Macaca fascicularis: one gene and its partners. The protein of the gene in region 1 purifies or fractionates together with the protein of each later gene. This does not show direct contact. Links are inferred from orthologs where the notes say so. Each region holds a gene or a part of one and is shown in the gene's direction. Other genes may lie near its edges. The genes, in order: MTMR2, MTMR10 and MTMR12.

What was found.
Region 2: the proteins of MTMR2 (region 1) and MTMR10 purify together in Homo sapiens (affinity purification with mass spectrometry; 5 studies listed by BioGRID and IntAct, with this or other methods). This does not show direct contact. The link is inferred for Macaca fascicularis from reciprocal best matches to the Homo sapiens genes MTMR2 and MTMR10.
Region 3: the proteins of MTMR2 (region 1) and MTMR12 purify together in Homo sapiens (affinity purification with mass spectrometry; 5 studies listed by BioGRID and IntAct, with this or other methods). This does not show direct contact. The link is inferred for Macaca fascicularis from reciprocal best matches to the Homo sapiens genes MTMR2 and MTMR12.

Annotation. Positions count from the first base shown.
Region 1 is NC_088388.1:94,931,877-94,935,626, reverse strand, and holds the start of MTMR2 (phosphatidylinositol-3,5-bisphosphate 3-phosphatase MTMR2), read left to right. Parts: upstream 1-1,172; 5' UTR 1,173-1,328; coding exon 1,329-1,408; intron 1,409-1,420; exon of another isoform or gene 1,421-1,591; intron 1,592-3,750. UniProt on the Homo sapiens protein: Lipid phosphatase that specifically dephosphorylates the D-3 position of phosphatidylinositol 3-phosphate and phosphatidylinositol 3,5-bisphosphate, generating phosphatidylinositol and phosphatidylinositol 5-phosphate.
Region 2 is NC_088381.1:7,206,408-7,210,157, forward strand, and holds the start of MTMR10 (myotubularin-related protein 10), read left to right. Parts: upstream 1-1,462; 5' UTR 1,463-1,850; coding exon 1,851-1,910; intron 1,911-2,511; coding exon 2,512-2,572; intron 2,573-3,750.
Region 3 is NC_088380.1:32,858,414-32,862,063, reverse strand, and holds part of MTMR12 (myotubularin-related protein 12), read left to right. Parts: intron 1-1,666; coding exon 1,667-1,745; intron 1,746-3,136; coding exon 3,137-3,207; intron 3,208-3,650. UniProt on the Homo sapiens protein: Acts as an adapter for the myotubularin-related phosphatases. Regulates phosphatase MTM1 protein stability and possibly its intracellular location. By stabilizing MTM1 protein levels, required for skeletal muscle maintenance but not for myogenesis.

The DNA of each region.
Region 1 (3,750 bases):
TCAAGGGTTCATCAGTGTTCACCATACTTAGGAAGTTTAAGTCAAAGTAGCTGACAATGAGTTAGCATTTTGGAAGACAGGTAGAGATGGTGAAGAAATAAGGAAATTCTTCTATGAGTCATTATAGATATTTAAGCTTGTTAAAAAATGTTTTTGACTACCTACTCCTTTTGCCTACAGAGTACAGTTAAGATCTCTTAAAAATTATGGAAATAAAAACAATCGGTCGCTGCCTGTCCTTGCCAAACTGAAAAAAGGAACAGAACAGCTAAGCCTTTTGTGCTTAAACACATACTCATCAGTAACTACTTTAGCTCCTACAACTAAGCTAGGTTGTTCTTCTGGGGAATGTACTTGCAAGTTAATATTGCACTGCAAGTATAAGGTTTTTTAAAAGACATCAGTTGTACGTTATAAATTAAATCCAGTTTAAATCAATATGATTCTATTTATCCTAGCAAGGAAGTTTTTTTCTTTTTAAGGATCGTCTGATTTTTTTTTTTACAGTAATAATCTTTGCATAATTTTACACCCCATACATGACATGATTGGGATTCAATCTCAATCAGAAAAATCCCTTTATGGTGTCCTTCTTACGTCCTCTGTAACAGAAAAATCCTAGCAGAAGCATTTCCTCTTTACCCAGTTCCTGTTCTCTTATCACAGTTCTATTCCTCCACATTCCCTTCCTGCTAGGCACGGGAATTTGAAAGGGCATGGAAACACTGGTAAAAGTTTGTCTTCTACTTGGGTAATCCAATACCACCGCATCCAGTAGTATATAATTCTTCTTGCATGTATATCAGTTTCCTCCCCAATCCCTCTTCCATACCTCTTTCTCACTTTTCTCTCATTATCCTGTCCTCTTGTTTTCCTTGACCTCCACATTCCTGTCTCAATCATCCTCCTGGCCTCAGGTCCTTATCTCTTTCCTGATACCCTCCTGCTTAGTGTTCCCTCATTCCTCTTACACCTAGGATTATCTCCTCCTTCCCTAAGGGTCTGGTCCTTCATCCCTCCCGCTTCACCAGACCCTCTCACTCTGGGAGCCGCCACCTCCCTTTCCCCAAGACCAGAGGTCGCGCGGCCGGACACAGCTAGCACTGCGCGTCGGTGGCGACATCTGAGCGGGCGCAGTGGGGTCTTCCCGCGGCCCAGCAGCCTACGGGCGCGGTGCACTCTGGGGGAACATGGCCGCTTCCGGTCTCCCTCCCGGGCCGGCGCTGGCCTGACTGCGGCCCCTGCCCGCAGCACTCCGCCCTCTGCTTCTCCCGCCCTGTGGCCGCGAAGACCGCTTCAGCCTTTCCCTCTGCTGCCCCTGCCGCGCCATGGAGAAGAGCTCGAGCTGCGAGAGTCTTGGCTCCCAGCCAGCGGCGGCTCGGCCGCCCAGCGTGGACTCCTTGTCCAGGTAACCAGGACGCCCAGGGCCCCGCCCAGCGTCCGAAGGGGATGGAGAGGGGCCGGGGACCCACTGGATTGTTGTCCCGATTCGCGGATTCTGGTTTCTGAAGGCTGCACCGAAATTCCTTCCCCGGGACTTGGGAACCACTTCTGCCTCCCTCTCTGGGGCGTGGAGGCTGAGGAAAAGGAGGTTAAAACTCGCTGCTTCTTTATCGATTCCTCCACCTTTCATATTCCGATCTCTTTTTCTCCCCAAAGGAGGTGGCCCCAGTTAATTACTTTCTCCTGTCTCTCATTCCCTCTCAAACCTTTTTTAAGACAGTTCCCCCCGCCCCCATTCTTTTCCCCACATTTCCTGTCTTTCTCTATCACTTTTTCCAAAACCATCCTTCAGTCAATCTTTCTTCCTCCACCCTTTCTTATGTCTTTGGGTTTTGGATTCTTGCCCAAGCCTTTTCTCTCTTTTCATGGCTTCACTTTCTTAATTTCTTTCATGCTTTTCTCTACACTCTGATTTTCTTCTCGCCTCTCCTTTTGCTTAAATATGTAAATAAAAATGTCTCCTGTGCTTCTCTTTTCTAAATCTTCCAGCTGAAAGTCAGTATCAAGGAATCTGAGTGATTTTTATCCCCAGTGATAGGTGTAAGAAAACAAAATGAGTGGTAGTTTTCTTCCTTCTTGGGCTACTGGTTCTCCAGGTTGTCATTTATCTTGTAACAGATGGGAATTTTATCCTGGAATTTTGAGGAGGACTTTATGCAGCTTTGCGGAGAGCTTTTATGAATATTAACTAGACGCGTTTTGGATGCGGTCTTTTTCTTTGATTTTTAAAATAATGATTTAAAATTTTATTAAAAAATAAGACCTGTATTTGCTTTTTATGCAGCCATGATGAAATCTGGTTCTTTTCCACTGAATAATAGTCTAATTGTTATTAGAGAGTTATTCGATAACTGCTGTGTGAAGACACAATTTTCATTTTCTCCTCGAATCAAGTGAAGTGGCTCTATTATAATTCATTTTGGATTCTGCTAAATATGGGTAGTTATTGCCTTTTTTCCTATTGGTGTTCAGTACCTCATTGGGGAACCACTGTCTGATCCCATCATTCTAAATCTCTATATGCATTCATAGCTCCCTGCCCAGTCGTTTTTCAGAGTCCTTAATAAGTACACTATAATTGTTGGCTTAAAGTGCCTTTTCTACGAGGCTATAAGCTATTGTACTTGAGGGCAATCTTAATCATCTTCGTATCTCCAGCACTTAACATAGTCTCAGCCTGTGATAGGTGCTCACTACGTTCATTTTTTTGAATTTGTAGCCTGAATTATCCACGAGAGGAGTTTTCTTTGCAGTTTGATTATATATATTGCACGTTTAAATCAAGTATTTTTTGAATTTTGTATTGCTTTGAAATGTAGAAAGCTGAGGATTAACATGTTTAGTTGTAAAATTCATTCAGAAAACAGGTTGGAAAATTCTAATTTTATGGGAAAGTTACAAATGACAACTATGCCTCAGAATAGAATAAGAGGCAACCAGTACTCTCATCCGAGGCAGAGGAGTCAGAACCACATGAAGCAGCATAGTATGTTAGAAAGAAGGAAGTACTGGAAGTTAGGAAGCTCCCATGCTGAAGTCTCTGGCTGAGCTAGCTCTTTGGTCTTTATCGTTTAACCTTTTTAGTCTACGGTTTTCTCATCTTTTAAAATAAGAAGCTTAATCTAGAAAATCTGTAAGGTCCCTTGGAACTCTAAAATTGTCATTTTTTAAATGTTAATGACAATACTAAGATAAATGCATTGGTATTAATTTTAAAGATAATTCCTTTGCAAATAACCTGTTTTGGATATTCGCAATTACGCTAAATAAGTGTCTTTTATTATCACAAACTAATATTTCTAACGGTGCCACTTTAACATATTTATTTCCTAAAAAAGAAAGCCCAGCAAATTTAAAGTTTATGAACTTCTTTATAAAAAAGTATTTACTGACATGAATTTTAGAAAATTAAGTACTCCTCGAGAGAATTGTGATTATAGATTAGTCTCATCCTCTCTGGACAAAAATATAAGTATGATTCCTGTTTTCCATGAGAGAATGCCAGCTTTCATTACTCCCCTCTGGAAGACAGAAAAGTAGTATTTACTTAATGTCTACCGTATGGAAGTTTCCCTGCTAAATTCTACGTATCTTTTATTTCATTAATCATCATACCTGTTTGTGGCACTCTCTTTAATCAACAGTATGTAACAGATACATTATAGACACTAGTTAGAAAGCTTAATTTTAAACAATCTAGGCTAACACTTCTTCGCAGTTGATTCTAATACATTGCCAGTGTGAAAA
Region 2 (3,750 bases), on another chromosome or scaffold:
GCTATATTTGGAGATTTTAGTAGGTAATTAAGGCTGAATAAGGTAATAAGAGTGGGGCTCTAATCTGATAGGATTAGCGTCCTTACAAGAAGAGACACCAAGAGATCCCAGAGAGCTTGTTACATACCCTCCGCGCACAGTGTGAGCACACGGTGAGATGGCAGCCATCTGCAAATCAGAGAGCCCTCGCCTGTCTGCCTGCCACAAGTCAGGCAGATCCCTACCTTGCCAACACCTTGATCTTGGACTTCCATACTCCAGAATTGTGAGAAATTAATGTCTGCTCTTTAAGCCATCAACCTGTGGTATTTTGTTACGGCAGTCTGAGCAGACTAATACAACTAGATATCTGGGAAATGTTAAGACAATAATAAATCTGGAAATAGACTTTTTCCACTTTTCTGTTGTATGGTCGCATATTAGAGTTGCAGATCCTAAGAAAACCTGTACAGAAAAACCCAAAGCACAGAGTCATTTAAGTGTAAAGAAAAAGCCAATGATTGCTTGAAGAGTATTTGTAGAAAATATCCATTGAATATAGAGGAATAACAGCATATCCATAAAAATTTTTTTAAAAGTGTGCACGACAGTGATTTTAACACTTCGAATCCAATGGAACTAACATTTTAAAATACAGTTATGGCCAGGCACGGTGCCTCATGCCCATAGTCCTAGCTACTTGAGAGGCTGAGGCAGGAGGATCACTTGAGCCCAGGAGGTCAAGGCAGCAGTGAGCCCTGATCATGCCAGTGCACTTCAGCCCAGGCGATGGTGTGAGACCCTGACTCTTTAAAAAATAGTTATGGTTATGGTTCCTGGGCAGAGTGGAATTCAAACATGTTAACCTGAAAGATCAGTAGGGTTCTATATCCAGGATAAATCATTTTCAGAAAAAGAATAACTTTCTGAATCTTTATGTAAATTGTTAAATGTTCCTGTGAGTAACACTCATCAGTATGACTGTGACTGATAGGGCTACATGGGAGCTTCCCTGTGACATGAATCAGAAAGTGCTGGATTGGGGTTTGATTCTTCAAGGTATAAGAAGGACCTAGTCTCAAGTCATAGAATCACCAAAATGTAACACCACTAGCCCCCTCCCACCAAAGTCTGCTCCAGTCTGAATTACGGTAAGAGCTCAGAAGTGACCTGTGCTTGGCGGCACCGGCCCACTTTCCCAGTGCCGGTTCCTCGCATACTGGGCGCAGACGGGGTGACCGCCTAACCCCTGGACCCAAGTCCCCTTCCCCTGCCCTGGGCTCCTCCCTGAGCTCGCCCGGGCCGGAGGGCGAAGTCGGCCCATGTGTAAGTCATGGGAACTGTCCCAGGACTGCAGTACGGCCAGAAGATGCCCCGCGCCGCCGTCCCAGGCCGCCTACCGCTGCCGCCGTGGCCCCCGCAGGCCGCCGTAGGCCCCCACGGGCCGTCTGACCCCTGCGGGCTGCCGTAGGAGCACCCTCCTGAGGCCGCGCTCTCGAGATGGCTGCCGGGCTCCGCTCCCAGCGGCGCCCGGGCTGAGGGCCCGCCAGCGGGCACCCGGCGCCACCCCTGCGTTCCGGCACTAGCACGGGCTACGGCCCGGGAGCGGCGGGCCGCGGCCCTGCGCGCGCCGTCTCTCGGGGCGGGGCACCGGGCCCCTTCCGGGGATGAGCCCCGGCGCCCGCGTCGGTCTGGCTGTGCCCGGCCCCTCCCCGCTCGGGCGGGCGCTGCGCCGTGTCCCCGCCCGTCAGTCAGCCCGGCTCGGCTGGCCGCAGAAGGGGCCTGGGCGGCCGCACTGAGAGCTTTACGCCTGGAGGCGTCGGCGCTGCAGCTGACCCGCGACGGGAACAGAGCGAAGAGGCGGCGGCACCATGTTCTCCCTCAAGCCGCCCAGACCCACCTTCAGGTCCTACCTCCTGCCGCCGCCCCAGGTAAACAACCCCTCCCCGCGAGCGCCTCTCTCCTCGGCGCTTCCGTGGAGCCTCCAGGCCGACCCCCGGGAACTGGAGGACCCCGGGAGGCTGCGCGCGTCTCCCTGCCCTCAGCCGCGCGGCTGCCTGGTTCCCGGCGCCGCGAAATGCGCCTTCTCGGGAGCCCCACTGGCTCGGCGAAAACTTGTAAAACTCTTCTGCAGCCATTCTCTGCCCGAAGTCCGTCCTCCGTAGTTTTACCGAGTGCTGAGACCCAGGGGAGCCTTGGGAGCTGGGGTTTTCTTTAGTTTCCAACCCGTCGACCGTCCCTCCTATGACCGCCAGCGTGATTGCAGCGCTTGGGGTCACTGGTCGAGGTGGTTAACCGTCTGTCATAAATGTGAACACCTGGAAGCGACACTGGCCGTTTAAGTAATTTTTATTATCAGGCTTCCAAGTCGATAATGAGCAGATCTTTAAAAGAGCTCAGTTAATATGTGAAAGAATTTAAATGGGGGCTATGTGTCTTTCGCCTGTGTCATCACTTAGAAAACATTTGCTGTAGCGTTTTACGGAGGGTGGGGGTATTGAGATTTTGATTTATTTTGCTCATGTATTTCAGACTGACGATAAGATCAGTTCGGAACCGAAGATTAAAAAACTGGAGCCAGTCCTTTTGCCAGGTAAACGTTAGTTAGAATTTTAGCAGATACTTTAGCAATGTATTTTGGTCTAAGATTGTTCTGCCGACTAGTATCATGTGGTTAACTTCCCTTCTCTCATTAAACTTTCTCCAGTTAAAAATCTAGTGACTGAGAGGAGAAAATGGAACTGTCAAGAATGTCATTACCTCATTTCCTTTTTTGTCTCCTGAATTTCTTTTTGAAAATACGTATATGTTTAATTGCTTGGGTAGTAAAAGTACTCTTTGCTTACGTGTTTGTCTGCCACTTATGGCATTAATGGTTAATAGTCAAATCATTTTAATGCATTTTGATAGTATAAAAAGAGGCCTTTATTATGTTTCTGTCTCTATACAAATAACAGAGCTCGGTGAACTTTGAATTACTTGCTTGGCAATTGTTTTTTGAAGTTGTCAGCTGTATTTGCAAATTTGCTTGTTTCAGTTTAGAAGTAGGCTTTTCCCAGCAGAGACACTTAATTGACATTTGGGGCCAGATAATTCATAGTTGGAGGGGCAGGCTGCCCTTTGTATAGCAGCAAAGATGGTCTCCACCCACTAGATGCCAGTAGTAGTACCCTTATTCCCCACCACCTAGTTGCGACCTAGTTACCACACCAAAATGCCTCTAGTCATTGCCAATTTTTTTTTTTTTTTGTCCCCGGCCTCTGGGGGACAAAAATCTCACAATAGAGAATCACTGCTGTCGAACAAAATTTACTATGGGTGACCTTAGAGATAGAAGTAGGGATTGGTGGCAGAAAGGAGTCTGTTTTAGAGCATAGAAAATATTGGTATGGCGTTTAGAATTGTATAACAGTTGTATAATAATTAGGAAAAGTCGGTTGTTTAATGCGATTATTAGGGGGAAGTAGCCAGATACTTAGGAAAGCCTGTTTTAGACCTGAAATCAAATACTAGTTTGTGTGGCTACTATGAACATTGTAAAATCTGACTCATTACTTAAAGCCAAATCTAGTAAAATAATTAGAATTTTGTAGGTAAAAATTGAACAAATGTGGAAACTTTAAAATTTTAAATATTGTATAGGGACAAAATATTAAAAACACCAAACTTTGGTTCCATATGATAGATGCTAACTCTTAAAAAGTGTTTCTTAAACTTTACTATGGGAGTCATAAATCTTTTCCCTTGATTTTGTTAGTGCTTTTCACTCCA
Region 3 (3,650 bases), on another chromosome or scaffold:
TGAAACCCCATCTCTACTAAAAATACAAAAATTAGCCAGGCACGGTGGCGGGTGCCTGCAATCCCTCCTACTCGGGAGGCTGAGACAGAAGAATCGCTTGAACCCAGGAGACAGAGGTTGCAGTGAGCCGAGATTGTGTCATTGCACTCCAGCCTGGGTGACAAGAGCAAAACTCCATCTCAAAAAAAAAAAAAAAAAAATCCTTAAAGGGAACCCATTTTTTTTTTTTTTTTAGTTAATAATGTAAAATAGACTACAATAACGTGGTTAAATTCCCAGGACCCTCAGTTCTTTAGGGGTGAACTAAATGGCTGGTATCATCTCTTATGAGAGTGTCTTAAACTTGATGGAGCTTATGATGAGAAATAAAGTTTATATTTTTTATTTTCATCTTTTAATTCCATGTTTTCACATACTTTTGAAGTCCCCTTGTATATGCTAACTATGCTAGGTGTTGGTGATAAAGAGAAATATAACACCAGGAACTTACACTCTTGCAAGGGAAACAGCAATGTATGACTCTAACTCAAACTAAAACATTGCAATACATGTTTACTGTTTAATCAAGGACATTCATTCTAGTTTTATTTCAATCACTCAGGACTTTCAGGGATATCTGTCTTTTATTGATTTGAGTTTGCAACTTTTTTTTTCCTTTTCTTTTTTTTTTTTTTTTGAGACAGAGTTTCGCTCTTGTTGCCCCATCTGGAATGCAATGGTGTGATCTCAGCTCACCGCAACCTCTGCCACCCCGGTTCAAGCAATTCTCCTGCCTCAGCCTCCCAAGTAGCTGGGATTACAGGCATGCGCCAGCACCCCCAGCTAATTTTTTTTGTATTTTAGTAGAGACGGGGTTTGTCCATATTGGTCAGGCTGGTCTCGAACTTCTGACCTCGGGTGATCCACCTGCCTCGGCCTCCCAAAGTGTAGGGATTATAGGCATGAGCAACTGTGCCCAGCCTTTTTTTTTTTTTTTTTCATTTTTTAGAAACAGGGTCTCACTCTGTTGCCAAGGCTGGGGTGCAGTGGCACCATCATAGCTCACTGCAGCCTCAAACTCCTGGCCTCAAGTGATCTTCCTGCTTCTGGGATTATAGTGCTGGGATTATAGGCATGAGCCACAGCACCCAACCTGAGTTTGCAACTTTTAAATATATTGGATTTCTGTAAGATTTAAGGTTCTCTGTTTTATAAGGCATGTAGGGGGAGTCATGTCATGGTATGCTGGGTGCACAAACTTGTGCATTGAGATTCTAATGAAAGTCCAGTCTGACCCTTAGGCTTCTGTGGCATCAGGATGGATCCAGTTGCGTTTTCCACTTCTAGAATTAGCAGCCTAGATGTCAGCTATTTCTGCCTAAAGCATGTTACTCTCTGTCGACTTACAGGATGAACCATGGCTTTGTGTATGCATTGTAGGAATTTCTTATTTCAGCAATAAAGATCTCTTTTTGACCACCAAAACCTCCTAGGGCCCTACAGCTCAGAAACCGTTTCAGCTGAAGTTTTGAAATGACCCTTACTCATAATAGAGTCCTGTGCCTGGATTCTGCAGTTTGAGTCAGGACTGTTAATCTCAATGACACAGTTGAGGAGCACAGGATTTTTGTGGCAAGTATGTCAGTGAACAATGACCTGACGTCTTTACTCCTTTTTCTTTTTTTAGATAACAGTACTGAATTTTGGGACACAGATATAAAATGGTTTTCTCTGTTGGAAAGTAGCAGCTGGCTTGACATAATCAGGTATTTCAAACCATTGTTTTACTCTTGAATTTTATAATTGTCTAACTCAGGGTAGTAGATCAAACTGACAAATAATTTAACTGGTATTTCAAAGTTAAATATTCTTAGATCACATGTTCTACAGCTAGATTTTATATTTGCTACTTATTTCTGTGCACATTTGATAGGAATTTATGAACATGCCACCTGCTTACAAGGAGGTGTACTCTACAGACAAGGCATTGAAAAACCACAGAAAGAGTGTGACAACCCAGAATTATTATTGAGGCAGCAGTGCTGGCCTCCAGGGAGGAAATTGAGGGTGAGAACAGGAGTGATACTGACTTTTCACTGAATACCTCTTTTAATCTTGTGTCTTATGCATATATTATCTGTGTTTTTAAAAACCATGATTAATGTCAGTTATTCGTGGTTTGGGAGTTAGGTTCAGAGTTCCAGAGAACAGTTATATTGCCTTTCCTGCTTTCTATATCGAATAGCTCTTCTCTGTTGCCATTAAATAGAGGATATGGCAGAGAAAGGTGCAAAACAGAAATGATGATCAAGGTGAGACAGTAGGTCTAATGCTAGGCTACATTTCAGGAGGGAGAGCAATGCTTCCTGCTGCCTCACACACATTCTCCCTCCATTCTGAAGTGAGTACTATGGAAAGGAGCCTTGGCCCTCCAGACACTGAACTGTGCTTCAGACATCCTGCTACACATCTCATAATTTGAATATATAATGGGAGACAGGGATAAATGTTGTAAAAGCAAATAACCCTTCTTTGTGTGGGGTGGGCAGAGAAGGGTGAGCATCTCTAGCCAGATGAAGGGTCGGGGTGTGGGAAGGGAGGGTGGCTGGGGGGTAGGAGAGGACACCTCTGCGAGCAGAAGACAACATACATGAAGGCCCCCAGTTATACAAGTCCAAGCTGGGAATAATGGCAACAGTTGCAAAGGGAATAATGTGTAGAGAGAGACAAAAAGGATTTCTGAGCATATTGGAGCTTTTTAGCCACTCTGATACATTCAGCAGGTCACCTTAAGGAAAGTAATCTGGACATGTCTCGCATTCTCCAGGTATGTTTGATTTTTATGAATCTTGCTCAGCAGCAGACTCAAGCATGAGTTTTTAATAAGAATGTCTAGTTTAGAAATTACCTAGGAGCATTTTCATATCAATTTTAGGATTCCCTTCTGAAAATTTTCAGTTTCTAATGGGCAGGAATATATCCTGGTATTTAAATAATGTAAATGGAAGTTAGTTTCTTTTCTGGAGGATTTTAGCATGGAAAAAAAAAAATAAGAGAGAAGACTGAAGATCAAGTCAGACTATCTCTAAACTACTTAATGTTTTTGTTACCAAGCTCATGAACTAATGCCCCTTTTTCTTGTCTCTTTCCTATTTAGACGTTGCCTGAAAAAAGCAATAGAGATTACAGAATGTATGGAAGCACAAAACATGAATGTTCTTCTTTTAGGTAATATATAGGAAGCACAAAGGATGATTTCCATTTTCCTTCACTTGAGATTCAATTTTTATATATATAGCTTTGTGTATTTGGAAACAAAAGGAGTGAGTTAGTGTAGAAATCCTTCCTATTCCTTTCTCCCTAACCTTGGAATCCTTTGCCTTGGATTTCAGTGTTAGAGTTTAAAACAAAATTCTTTCACTTCAAACTTGGCAGACCTATTCACCATCCATGAAGGAATTTTTTGGTATCTTTACCAAAGCTCACATTTCTTAATGTTTTGGATTTTGTTTTATATTAACTGAGCTTGGTTAAAGTTAAAATCTTTTTAGAATCCTTCTTATATAAAGAGATCCATGGATGACTTGGTTGTTATTTTTATATCTTTGTGGTTGACAACTTTATACAGTTACCATAGAAACTTGGTGGCCTGTGAGTTCCTTTTCCTCAGT